Linked DNA regions of Caenorhabditis elegans. The protein of the gene in region 2 purifies or fractionates together with the protein of the main gene of each other region. This does not show direct contact. Each region holds a gene or a part of one and is shown on either strand. Other genes may lie near its edges.

Region 1 (5,539 bases), on a different chromosome or scaffold from region 2:
GTCTTCAAAATTGAGTTTTCCTCACGTTATTAAAAATAAGAAATGAAAATTATCGAATTCATCACCAAAAATAGAGAAAGAGAGAGAGTGGTAGAAAAGTTTTTCACGTTTAATTAATCTTTTTGATTTTGCAAAAATTGAATGATGGTCTACATTTTGGAAAGTGGGCCAATTTTTTTCAAAATAGTTTCAAAAAATTGGAAATACGAAGTTCTCTCTTGCGCACAAATTGGAACCAAATGTCAGAAAAACTGAAGATTTGGGGCTGAAAAAACATGAAATTCGTCAGTACAAAGAATACATCCATTTCGACCATACTCCAGAATTCCGCTCAAATCAGTGTTTTAGCCTTCCCAAAAGCGCCCCCCCCACAATGATGACGATGGAAGGCGCTATTTTTGTAAGCTATTGAAACAAATTGCTCAAAAAACCGCCAATCCTAAGCCAAGATATAAGCTCTCAAAGTGCAGTCACATTTCTCGGGACACCCCATGTCGACAACGTGCCCTTATTTTTTATTTCTGTCAAGAATGCAATTTCAGGATTTAATATAGGAAGAGGCAGATTAGTAAAACTGATCTAATACTTGCGAAGATTTTCTACACAAAGAGCATTTAAAATGAAAAAAAAAATTAAATAAAAGTGAACCAGAAACATAAAAATCCTTTTCGCACTTCAGTTCAACATTGCTTTCCAATGGTTGACCAATGCTTTCGGATCGTTGATCCATTGAGAAACTAGATTTCGTCCATCATCAGTAATAACTGTTCCATCGGGTTTCATTATTATTAAGGCAGGAATATGATTTTTGGTATTTCGGTGCTTCATTGAATTGCACAAATTGAGTGGCAAATGGAACCAATCGCCATGGAAATTTTGCAAGTAGAAGTTCATTTCTTGTGTATTATTGTCGCTCGAAACGAATAGTATTTCGAAGTTATCCTCTACTTGACTATAGAATTGTGCAAGAACCGGAGTGAAATCGCGAGATGGCGGACACCAATGAGCAGAGAAATACAGTCCAACCACTTTTCCATCGAGCACTCGCTCGTTATATGTTTGAGATGGATGTTGGTGCCTGATAAATGTGAAATTTTGGAGGAATGTGCATTTATTCGCCTGCTTTTTTCTTTCTTTTTCCTGTTTTTGCCTAGCTTTCTCTTCTGCGATTTTTCTTTTCTTTTCCTCTTCCAGAGCTTTTTTTTTCTTCTCTTCTTCAGCTTTCCGTTTTATTTCCAGTTCTTCCTTCTTCTTCCTTTCCTCTTCCAACTCTTTCTTGCGTTTTTCTTCTTCATAAATTTTCAATTCTTCCTCCGCTTTTAACCTTGCTTCTTCCTCTTCCTGTTTTTTCCTAGCTTCCTCTTCCAAAATCTTTCTTTGTTTTTCTTCTTCTTCCTTGATTCTTGCTTCTTCCTCCTCTCTCTGCTTCAACTCCAGTTTCTCCTGTTTCTTCTTGGATTCCTCTATCGATACTTCTTCAATTCTTTTCTCCAATTTCAATGTTTCCTCAAGGTCAATTCGAACGTTTTGTTCAAGCTCATAGGTTTTCTCAGAGTGCTCAATTACTGTAACTGTACTATGAGAGTGTTCAGACGAGAACTCTGAGATTGAAGAACGCAAAGAAAGCGACTTTATCCATTTGGAAACTCGTTCTTGTTCTGGTCTGAAAAATGAAATTTTTTTAATCATAAGGCTACGTTGAAGTTGAATAGTACAACAACCAAAGCTATAACCTCATCTTATTGAGGAAGTTAGCGTTATGTGAACATACAACGGAGTTAACATTTTCCTCTGTTACTGTAAAAAAGGAAAAATTTTTGAAAACCAACCTGTCAAGAATCTGAAGCTTCAATTCAAAAATTTTGAACATATTGTCGAACTTTCCAGAAAAGCACCCGAATTGTTGCTCGATACTTTCAAGGTGCTGAATTATAAGTGTCAAGTGGATTGACTGAAACTCTGTGTGCTCCAAAATGCAAATGATGAACTGAGAAATTCTTTGTTCAATTATCTCTCTATACGTCCACTTATCCTATAACTTATTCATCAAAAATTGTCCTGATAATTACTTTCAAACTCACGATTTTTATTTTCAAGTACAATAAAATCAGAATATTCAGAGTGTCCATGCATTGGTCGATGTGTTGTGTTTGGAGAAGAGACAAATGCTCATTTCTCATGAAAACTAGCATCTTTGCTTCATAGCTACAAAAAAAGGTTCATCAGTTTAAAATCTAGAAGTCCGCCGATAGTTTTTTAGAAATGTTTCAAACATTGAGCAGAAGTTGGACAGACATCCGATTTTCTCCTACTGCTCATAGTCTCACCAACGTCTTCCAAAATCCTGACAAAGTTTGAAACGGCGTTTGGCCGAAAAGTGCGTTCCAAGTGTCGAAGGAAATGTGAGAGTCCTGGATAGCAATCAAAAAGATTTTAATAACAAACCTGTCAAACATCTGAGCTTTCGCTTCAAAATGTGTGAACATAATGTCACACATTTCCGTGAAATTCCCAAATCGTTGTTCAATACTTCCGAGGAGTTCAGTTATCATGGTCAAGTGGCTTGACTCAAACTCTTTGTGCTCCAAAATGAAAACGATTACCTGGCAAATTCTGAACTCAAAGTTTTCCCTGCACTCCAAATCATCCTATAATTTCTTAGTCAACAATTGCCACGAGCATTCTTTCAAACTCACAATACTTATTTTCATGTAGAAAATCATCAAAATTCTCAAACTAACGATGGATTGTTCAATTGACTCATTCTCCCAATTCTCCCAATACAGAAGTACATCCGTCTTTGTTTCATCTCTACCAATTGAAAGGTGTATAAGTGCCAGCAAATGATATTTTTCTGAGTTTTCGTATTCCCAAGTTGCCTGTAATGAGCAAATCACTGTAGGCAAGAATACTAAATCTCTAGCAACCTACCATCCCAATAATAATCCCAAATGCTACTGCATAATGTCGTTGATCAAGATTTTCTAGAAGTTTCATGATCTCAGATGTCCAAAATGTAACTTCCATTTTCTTTTCCAATCCGATTAACTTCTCGCATATCAATTTGATCTTCTGTAGATCAATGGAATTATCGACCGAACACCTCCAAGAAGCATTCTTCACTTTGTAGCAAAATTTGTCATTGGGAGAAGTTAGAATTCGAATTTCCTCTAGTCCAGAATTCAAAAATCCCACAGCTTTCTGTTGTCTCCCTTTGAAACTTGCGATCTTCTTTCTAAGACCTTCATATTTGTTTTTTGAAGATTTCAATTCCAAATGTATTTCTTTGGAATTCGACTCATCGTCTTGATTATCACTTAATTCATCTATCAGTGACGCAATATTCCTGTAAACATAACAATTATAATTAATTACTATTTTCTTATTTAGAAAAAAAAAATAGAGAATAACTAACTTCTCCTGAAACTCAATATCTCTTTCCACAAGAAATTGTTGAACTTCTATGGAATCCAATAGTTTTTTCTTTGCAAATTCAACAAGTTCTTCTTGAAATCCGGGGATTACAGAAAATTGTTCAAGTTGATCAACATTATTGTCTTGTTCTAGATGATATTCATTCTGAAAAAAAGGGTTTTTAACCAGGTAGGAATTGAGATTACCCTCAGGCTTTGAAATGATAAAACCAAATTTCAATCGGAAAATTTTTCAATTAAAATATTTACTACATAGTAGGATTCCAATAACTAACCTCAGCCACAAGTTCGAGAATTCTCCAAGGGTTTCCATCAATCGACTCTGTCATTTTGCAGCCCAAACTTCAATAAAAATGAATGTTCGAACTACTTGGTCTTCTCTATCGTCCTTAAAAACGGAGTTTATCACCAAAACCGAATTATCGTAAACAACTTATACTCAACATTCGCCAACACTGAACAAATAAGTGAAAACTATGAAAAAGTTTATCAGTAATTTTGTGTGATTTGTTCTGAAATAGATTCGTAAAAGTACATCTCTAAATTCAAATTAATGGAATTTTCTGAATGTACTTTTGTTTAATTTGATCACGTTCTTTAGGAAATGGAAAATAAAATCATATGGCATACAATACAAGGTTATGAAATGTTAATTGTGATGCTCGCTCGTGCTCTAGTTGTTGACTTTCAATATCAATTTCTAAGTTTAGTATCCCATTTCAGATTGTTTCAAAATTTGCCTAGTCCCTCGAATTAAAACATGCGTCGGTGGACTAAACTACATATATTTGTTCGAACTTTTGAACCTTCCCAATCATTGAGAGCACAACAATTGTCATATTTTTTTCAACTAATAATTGTCAACAACTTTTTGAACAGCTGCCCCTGCACGGCGATCAAATGTGTCACTTTGCCTTATTTCTAGCCAGAAACATGTGCAAAAATGCGCTCTCTGTGCTTGACCGTGACAAGTTTCCTGTTGATTTAACATTACAATTTTGAGTTTTGTTATTCTCAATCACCAATCCACAGATTTGTCTGCCTACTGTATGCCCACCCACTTTGTTTAAAAGCTGAATCCGTGTTGAAGTTTTATCTGCTACTTCCACCATAGTGAAGGACTCGTTCAATCTAACCGGCCTCTTGATAGTAAGTAAAAAATTTTCCTTTATTTTATTCTGTGTTACTATTATATACTTGGAATGGTTCCTGAAACCGTTTTCATGATAAAATTTATAAAAAAAATTCAAGAAAACTTCATGGAGGTTCAAACATTTGTTTAAAACATCTAGATTCAGCAAAAACCTGAAAGTTTACCAATTCTGCTGAACTATAGCTTTTCTATTCTTTTCTGTTAGTCTAAACAGAAGAAAACCAATGAAAAAACAAAAGCAATCTCTTTATGACACTGGGTTTCTCGGTGCCATTTCGAGTTTATTAGAATATACTCAGAAATTTTGTACGAACTTCAGAACAAAGTTGGAAAATGTTTGGGCACTCGACTTCCTTCTGTCTTTTGGCTTTATTTGTGCTCTCGATGACAGTAAATTGTAAAGATCCTTGGTATGACTGGAAGGTAGGCAAAGGCTTGAATGGACGATCATCGTTTATGGGATACCAATTTGACTCGCCACTCGAACGCAACGCTATTAAGGGATATCGATATCTTAGTACTCGTGGTAGAGTCACAGATTGCAATAGCAACTGTAGATACTATTATAACGCGAACTCAGGATATTGTGCTCCTTCACGATCCAATGATTGCTCTACCTACTGCGGTTGTGGTTTTGTCTGTAGATGTAGATAGATAGATAATCTTGTTTTAAAGGTGGAGTAGCTTGAATTTGCGAATACTAAAAATAGTAATTCACTCTACTCCGCCTTCAATTTAGAGAATATGACAAATGTTTGTGTTTTTTTCCTCTGAATTCGCTATTTCTCTACACTTTCCACTAGTTTCTTAGAGTAAACCCCAACTTTTTTCAAACAACCTGTGCAATGCAAAAAAGAGGTTTTTACCGATTATTTGTCATATTCATTTGCTTCTTTACAATCTCTTCAATTGTTAATACTATGACATCATTAATAAAACTATACACCTTGAT
Region 2 (6,877 bases):
AAAATCAGAAAGTGAACGATAAATGTTTTGCTTCTTGGTATTTAGTGGAGAGTAAAAAGAAATAAGTGTGTGTGTGAGGAGTATGACTCATCGATTGGCCAAACTTCACGGCAATTATCGAGAAAGTTTTGTGTGTGGCGATGGTGGTGGCAATGAGACAGGAGAATGAAATGAGATTCCTTGGATTCTGTCTACCAGGTCAATTACCTTTGATTATTTGAAAGAAAGAAGAAAGTGTCAGAGGAAACTAGATCAAAAATCACGGCAAAAGCGTGTCTGAATGGAAAGGGCATCTCTGTAATTTGAGAAGACAGGCTTGAGAAAATGGAGAAGCCTGAACAACGAAATTGAAAACTGGGAAGAAAATTGATATGATTTTTTTTCCGAATATCGGGAATCTGAAATTTGAAGATCAAAAAGTGGGATTATTGATCCCTTCGTGATTTTTTCAGAACTAAACAGCTGACTTGATTAATCAGGTTCAGTTGGTGAACAGAGGTCGAATGAAAGATGGCTAAGGTGAAATGTTTATTCAATTACACTGAATAAATATTACAATGAATGTATAAAAATCTTTGTTATAAAAATGGATGGTAGTGGTCAATTTTGATGGCGCTGAGCAAACAGAGCTTGGTACGACTCAGAGAAGGTAAGAATGGAACAAAACAAAAAAATGAAAGCATATTTAATAATGAGAGAGACAATTACAAAAAAAAACAAGGAGATCCAATCAAAGAACTCTTTTTGGTGATTTTCAAGGGAGTTAATTTAGTTGTTTGTTAAAATGAAATAGCGACAATTACCGGTAAAAAGAGTGAAAAACAATTGAAGATTGAGAAAAGTTATTTGAAAACAAATTACATTTACAATCTATGTCTTCTCTTGTATTCTTTACAGCAGATTTCAGTACATCTTTGCAGAGAATGGAAGTTGTTCAATGTTCCTTCACACCCTCCATATTGATATTCAACACAAGTATCTGTGTTCGCATCATAACCATATCGCTTCTCAAAGTTATTGCATGGTCCCGAGTCGCGAGCTGAGAGGCAGAAATCCATTGGGTCCTGAAAATAAAAAAATAAATGATAACTTTCTCCATGATAAGCGTGTAGTGCCGTTTGATCCGTATTTGTTCTCAACCTGTTTCACTCTTTTTCAAACTTTTCACTCTGGAAAAGCTTACCTGGCAACAAATGGAAACATTGAACTCAGAAGACATGTGGCAAATAAATCCTTCCGGACATCCCTTGTCAATACCGCACGAGGTTACTGTTGATCCCTCAATCAATGGAATTCCATGCGGACAATAATTTCTGTATTCTGGACATGCTTCCATACAAGTATTTTGACTAATGAAGTTGTTTTCGTTTCCAGCAACTCCTCCGTATGTAAATGGAGCACATCTGTTTTGTTTGCGATCGAAGAACCATCTTGGCAAGTCTTCTGATCCTGTTCCTTCCTCTACGGCTTGATCACACGGGTCGATTTCTGAATTCAATAATAAAATAAGTGTCTAATAATAAATGGAATTCACGCATACTTCTCTTAGGGCAGCACAGCGTAGTGAGAGCACTAGATCCAACGTGACAGTACGAATTTTGTGGGCAGCTGTTAACTCTCTGTCCACCAGTACACAACATTCTTTCTCCGGTGGTGTCAACCAACGGATCACCATAACCGCACGGATTCATTTCCTTGCAAGACTGTCGGCACGACTGTTTGGTCAGGAAGTTGTTTGAGTTTCCTTTCATTCCCTTGTAAACAAATGGACGACACATTTGAATTCCTCCATCAAAGAACCAACGCTCGAGTTTCTCAACTCCTTGACCAACCTCTAATGGGAGATCACATGGACGACGGGCTGGAAATAGAATGCAAAATTGAACAGTTGCGTGAACTAAATGATATCTCTCTAGTAGTCTACTCACTTCCAGGGCAACAGTTGGTTGTCTCGGGGGCACCTCCAACATGACAATAATATCCGTTTGGACATGTGTCTTCTCCGCCGCAAATGACTGGTTCTTTTTGCAAACTAAGCAGTGGTTCTCCCAAGCTGCAAGGGTTTGGAAGTACTGGACAAACAAGACCGCAATCTTCAAGAGTCAAAAAGTTGTTGGCATTTCCCTTCTGTCCTTCGTAGCTGAAATCGCGGCATCGGCGAGTTTCTTTGTCATAGTAGTATCTTGTAATTGAAAATCCTCCTGTTCCAGTAGCCAATGCTTGTTGGCACGGGTCACCATCTATGAATATATATTTTAGATAGAGTTAAAATTTTTAGAACAAACATACGTTTTGGACAACAATAATTCTCCGATCCTTCAACTCCAATGTGACAGAAATGGGTGGATGGACATCTCTCATCAGGAGAGCACAACTTTGGTTTAGTGCCAATCAAGAGCGGTTTTCCATTGCCGCATGGATTCTCAAATACTGGACAAACTGACAAGCAGTCTTCCTGTGTTAGGAACATATTCTGATTTCCTCCTTCTCCGCTGTAAATGAACTTGACACATTTGTTGAGGTTTTTGTCAAAGTGCCATCTTGTCAGATGAGAGTTTCCGTAACCCTTCGTCATTGTGAGTTCACACGTATTCTGAACAGCAGAGCAGCACACAGTTGTGTCTGGAGTTATTCCGACGTGGCACCAGTGCGAGCTTGGGCATGGCGAACTTGGGCTGCATGTGCGTGGCTCGTTGGTAGGTGTCATAAGCATTGTTCCTGATCCACATGGATTTTTGCATTCTCTTTTACACTTAGATTCACATTGTTGTTTTGTGAGGAAGTTGTTCTGGTTTCCTTTAGCTCCATTGTAAGCAAAAGACTTGCACTGTCTATTGCATGACTTATCTGCTGGGTCAGCGTACCATCTTGTGAGATTCGCGGTTCCTTCTCCGGAAAACATTGGAAGAGAGCATGGATCTGGGGAAGCTCCTGGACAGCATACTGAAGATTCTTTGGAAGCTCCAATATGGCACCAATGTCCGGCACTGCATTCAGTTCCATTTGAGTTTTCCATTCCACATTCCTTCTTTTGAGCATAATTAACTGGGACAGGGCATGGGTTATCCCACTCTAAAATACAATGTAAAATCTTAAATAACGAAGTATTTGTTGAAAGTTCCTACTTTGACATTTTTCTTGGCATTGTGTATATGACAAGAAGTTGTTCTCATTGCCCTTGGTACCCTTGTACATGAACTCTGTGCATCGCTTTGAGAAAGTGTTATAGTAGAATCTCTTGAGGAGGGCTTTACCCTGTCCGACGTTTATCGAGAGTAAGCACGGATCGGTTACTGTAAAATTAAAATAAATAGAGCCTTGGCGAGAGGTAGAGAACAAATAGAGTAAACGTTTGACAAAAAAAAATGCTCACGTCCACTGTTCTCACAGCAAGCAGTAAGTTCCGGGTTCTCGCCAATATGACAGTAATAGCCGTTCGGGCACATTGAATCATCGTTCGGTCCGCAAATAATACGAGATCCATTCTTATATTTAGCAGCGTTACTGAATTTGCATGGGTTTGCCTCATCAGTCACAGTTTCTAAAAAATCAAGAGTGATAATATTATGTGATATTGTTAAGTACTGAAGTAAAATCTAAACCTGTTTCACATGCATCCACACATTGAGCTTTGGTGACAAAATTATTAGCGTTTCCACGGATCCCCTTGTATAAGAAACGTCTACATTCTTTGGCCTGATTATCAAAATACCATCTAGCTACAAGTTCATCTCCCTCTCCAGTGTCCCTTCTCTGAGCACATCTGTCTTCCGAAGAAACTAATGGGCAACAAGCGGTAGTGGAGAAAGATGCTCCTGTGTGACAATAGTGATCTTCTGGGCATCCTCCGTTTGGTTGGTTCAAGTAGTTGCATGAGATTGGAGTGGAGAATTCGTTGAGAAGTGGCTGGCCGACGGCGCATGGGTTGAAGTATTCTGCAAACGGTGGAGGGAAAGGTGTGAAGATGCATTTTGATATAACGGGAGTCGCAACTACTACTATATATCTATTTGTTTGTTTATTATTGACACATAATTATCTTTTAAGTGGTTGCTTTGAAACGCAATGAAACGCGTTCAAATTGTCGGCGGCTTGGTCAGTTTGGTTGAACTGTTCGATCACGCAGACAAACATTACAAAAAATGCTGGGTTGGGTGGGTGGTTTGGTTGCAGGCAAAAAACTTACTGGCTTTTGATGTTTGTTTGCGCTCCGGACGCAAGTACTTTGTTGTTGGTGCAACAGTAGTCTCCGGTGCTGGAGTGGGGTCTGTATGTGATGGAGCCATAGACGGCGTGGATTCTGGAGCTGGAGTTTCAAGAGTGGTAGTTGTAGTTGGTGGCTAAAAAATAGAGAATGGAGATAAAGAATTACTAACTATTGTTCTGCTTACCTGAGTAGTAGTTTCAGTGATTAGAACTTGTTGTGTTGTGATAGGAGCTCCAACAGTTGGTCTAGGGTAAGTGATTGGGGGAAGAGTGCTTGGTGGCGGAGTTGGCAGTGTTGGAAGTGGTGGAGCTGGATTAACCACTGGCCTAATGGGACCTGGTGCAGACGGAATAGTTCTAATTTGTACTTGAACATTTGGCCGGATATCTGTTATATGAATATGACAAAAAACGAAACTATGTCGACTTACTTGTTGGTCTGACATTCCACCTGTATCTAGTCTGTTGATTACATCTGTTTTGACAATTAGTTCTTACTGGATAATACATTGTTCTCTGTTGTTGTGGTTGCATAACAGGTCGCATCTGTTGTTGCATATAATACTAGAAAAATGTGGTTGTTGTAATTCATCTTTCTTATTATTTTACCTGTGATAAAACCAACGGCACCAAGGCCACTATGAAGAGCAGCAGTCTCATGGCTTCGCTGTAAAATGAGTAAATTTAAAATGAATCTAGTGGATATGAGAAGCAAATCGGAAGCCAAAAGTGCTTGGTGATCCGAGTGTAGGTCAACTTCGTGAAATGAGTGACCGCTGGCCGGAAATGTAAACAGGGTGGTCGAACTCCTTGTGGGGAGGAGCTGACGGCGCGCGGGGCGGGAGCTTGATCTAAAAAATGGCTCGCAGGTACAAGGTACCGTGTTTTGTGAAAGGGAAAATGAAAATAGAAAGAGGAAAATGGAGTTCTTAACACTTAAAGGTCAGGTAAAAAGCTCAAACAAACAAAAGTAGGGATTTCGAAACACTGCTGGTAAAAACCTAGAACAAAAATGATATAATCATGTTTTTGAAATTGGGGGTTCAATTTTAATAGCTCAAACTGCTCTTATTATTTGGATTATAGTCTATGTGTCCTCCAACAAAAAACATCGCATAATTTTATTATTTCAAAAAACGTTGTAGTGCCACTTTGCAAAATAAGTTCATGCAATCAAATTTGTTTTTAACCTGAAAATTGAATTTGTTTTTATTCAATACCAATTTTTAATTTATTAAGTGTATCAATTGTTGCGTCCCTATTTTAAAGCAGGAGTCATTTTGACACCATAATCACTAATTTAGATGCAATTATACATACATCTTTAGTATTTCTGATTGCAAACTATTATACATAATAACAAAACCGTTCGAAAATTAGTGTTCCATTTTTTGTTTGAATTGCAAAAACTTTCGAAATTTAGTATACAGCTACATTAATAGAAAAAAAAACAATTTTTATCATTACCACCCGCGCAATAAACTTAAATTCATTGCACAATCTCTATGTACTTCCCGTCTGTCCAGTTCAAAGTTTGATAATTCTCGTAAAGTCGCCCGCTCCCAAAAGCTTCTCCCTGTCCACGTCCGTTTTTGACATGTAGTGGACATTGTCGCGCCCCGGTGCTTACCTATTTCTCTTTACATTCCGCTGTTTCTCGTCGTCATACAGACAGCTAACTCAAGACGTACGCCGAAAAAAGAGTTGTGCTCTCCCCCTCTGGATAAACATTGACCTAAATGACAACTATTTTGCTCTGCGTGACACTTATACTAACTGCTTTGTTTGGACTTCGTCATCACTTAAGTTTTAAAAAATTGATAAGAAGTTATCGTGATCAAGTGTGGTACACGTTGGAAAATATGTATTCAGAATAGTGTTTGAATGTCAACGTTGTTAATAACCAGTCTGGAATTAATGTTGAATGTTGAAATTGTATTGTAACTCTGGAGTGTGTAGTAAAGTATTAGCCGTACACATATTTGGAACTGAAAGGCTTCTCGAACCGTTCTTCTTCAAAATATACTTTAAAACAAGTATTTTGGAGTATAAGGTCTACAATTTGTGGATCGCTGTTTTCAAATATTCCAAGTGAAATCTAAAAAGCAATTCAAAATTTTCTTTAAAAACCACCCGTAATAAATATTTTTTAAGACTAAGCCAATATATGAAAAAAGAAATAATGTAATTAAATACTTATTTTTTATAATCTTTACTGATTTTTGTCTGTGTTTTATACGTGTAACACAAAAAGTGAACACTGAAACAGTAATTTCTCAAACATCGAAACATCACTCTCGAAGAACTAAGTTCTTGTCCCACTTCCTTTTTGGCATTTCCAAGTAATCGAAAGTAGCCGTAGTGGCAGGAACTATCCACAGCTATTATCACCGATCATCATCAAAAAGGGGGTTCTCTGGCGTTTTTTGTGTCCTCAAGTCAATTTCATTTTTCTGCACGCTTCTCTGTTCACACTGCGAACCTAAAGTTCGCATACTCTTTCGTTTGGTTTTTTTACTTCGCGCCCGCGCCAGTTTACACTTTTACTTGCTGGTTTCATATATCGTTCAGGATTACCGAAAACGAAGACGTCGACGACGACGGAGAAGAAAAAGGTGAAAGAAGAGACGAAGGAATTGAGTGATGGCAACTGATTGTCGTTGACATTGCT

Evidence for each region. Proteins that work in one complex are often made in the same cells at the same time.
Region 1: the proteins of C34F6.1 (region 2) and F17B5.1 fractionate together in Caenorhabditis elegans (co-fractionation; one large-scale study listed by BioGRID). This does not show direct contact.

Annotation. Positions count from the first base shown.
Region 1 is NC_003279.8:13,183,154-13,188,692, reverse strand, and holds F17B5.1 (protein-disulfide reductase), read right to left. Parts: upstream 3,842-5,539; 5' UTR 3,764-3,841; coding exon 3,710-3,763; intron 3,580-3,709; coding exon 3,416-3,579; intron 3,347-3,415; coding exon 2,932-3,346; intron 2,880-2,931; coding exon 2,697-2,879; intron 2,649-2,696; coding exon 2,446-2,648; exon of another isoform or gene 2,206-2,445; coding exon 2,082-2,205; intron 2,033-2,081; coding exon 1,830-2,032; intron 1,664-1,829; coding exon 676-1,663; 3' UTR 501-675; downstream 1-500. Other genes in the region: rgba-1 (Defensin-like protein), read left to right, coding at 4,921-5,241.
Region 2 is NC_003284.9:11,191,969-11,198,845, forward strand, and holds C34F6.1 (BPTI/Kunitz inhibitor domain-containing protein), read right to left. Parts: upstream 4,874-6,877; 5' UTR 4,867-4,873; coding exon 4,816-4,866; intron 4,771-4,815; coding exon 4,638-4,770; intron 4,595-4,637; coding exon 4,392-4,594; intron 4,341-4,391; coding exon 4,187-4,340; exon of another isoform or gene 4,047-4,186; intron 3,936-4,046; coding exon 3,603-3,935; intron 3,542-3,602; coding exon 3,374-3,541; intron 3,294-3,373; coding exon 3,126-3,293; intron 3,073-3,125; coding exon 2,290-3,072; intron 2,241-2,289; coding exon 1,929-2,240; intron 1,862-1,928; coding exon 1,541-1,861; intron 1,489-1,540; coding exon 1,184-1,488; intron 1,065-1,183; coding exon 864-1,064; 3' UTR 517-863; downstream 1-516.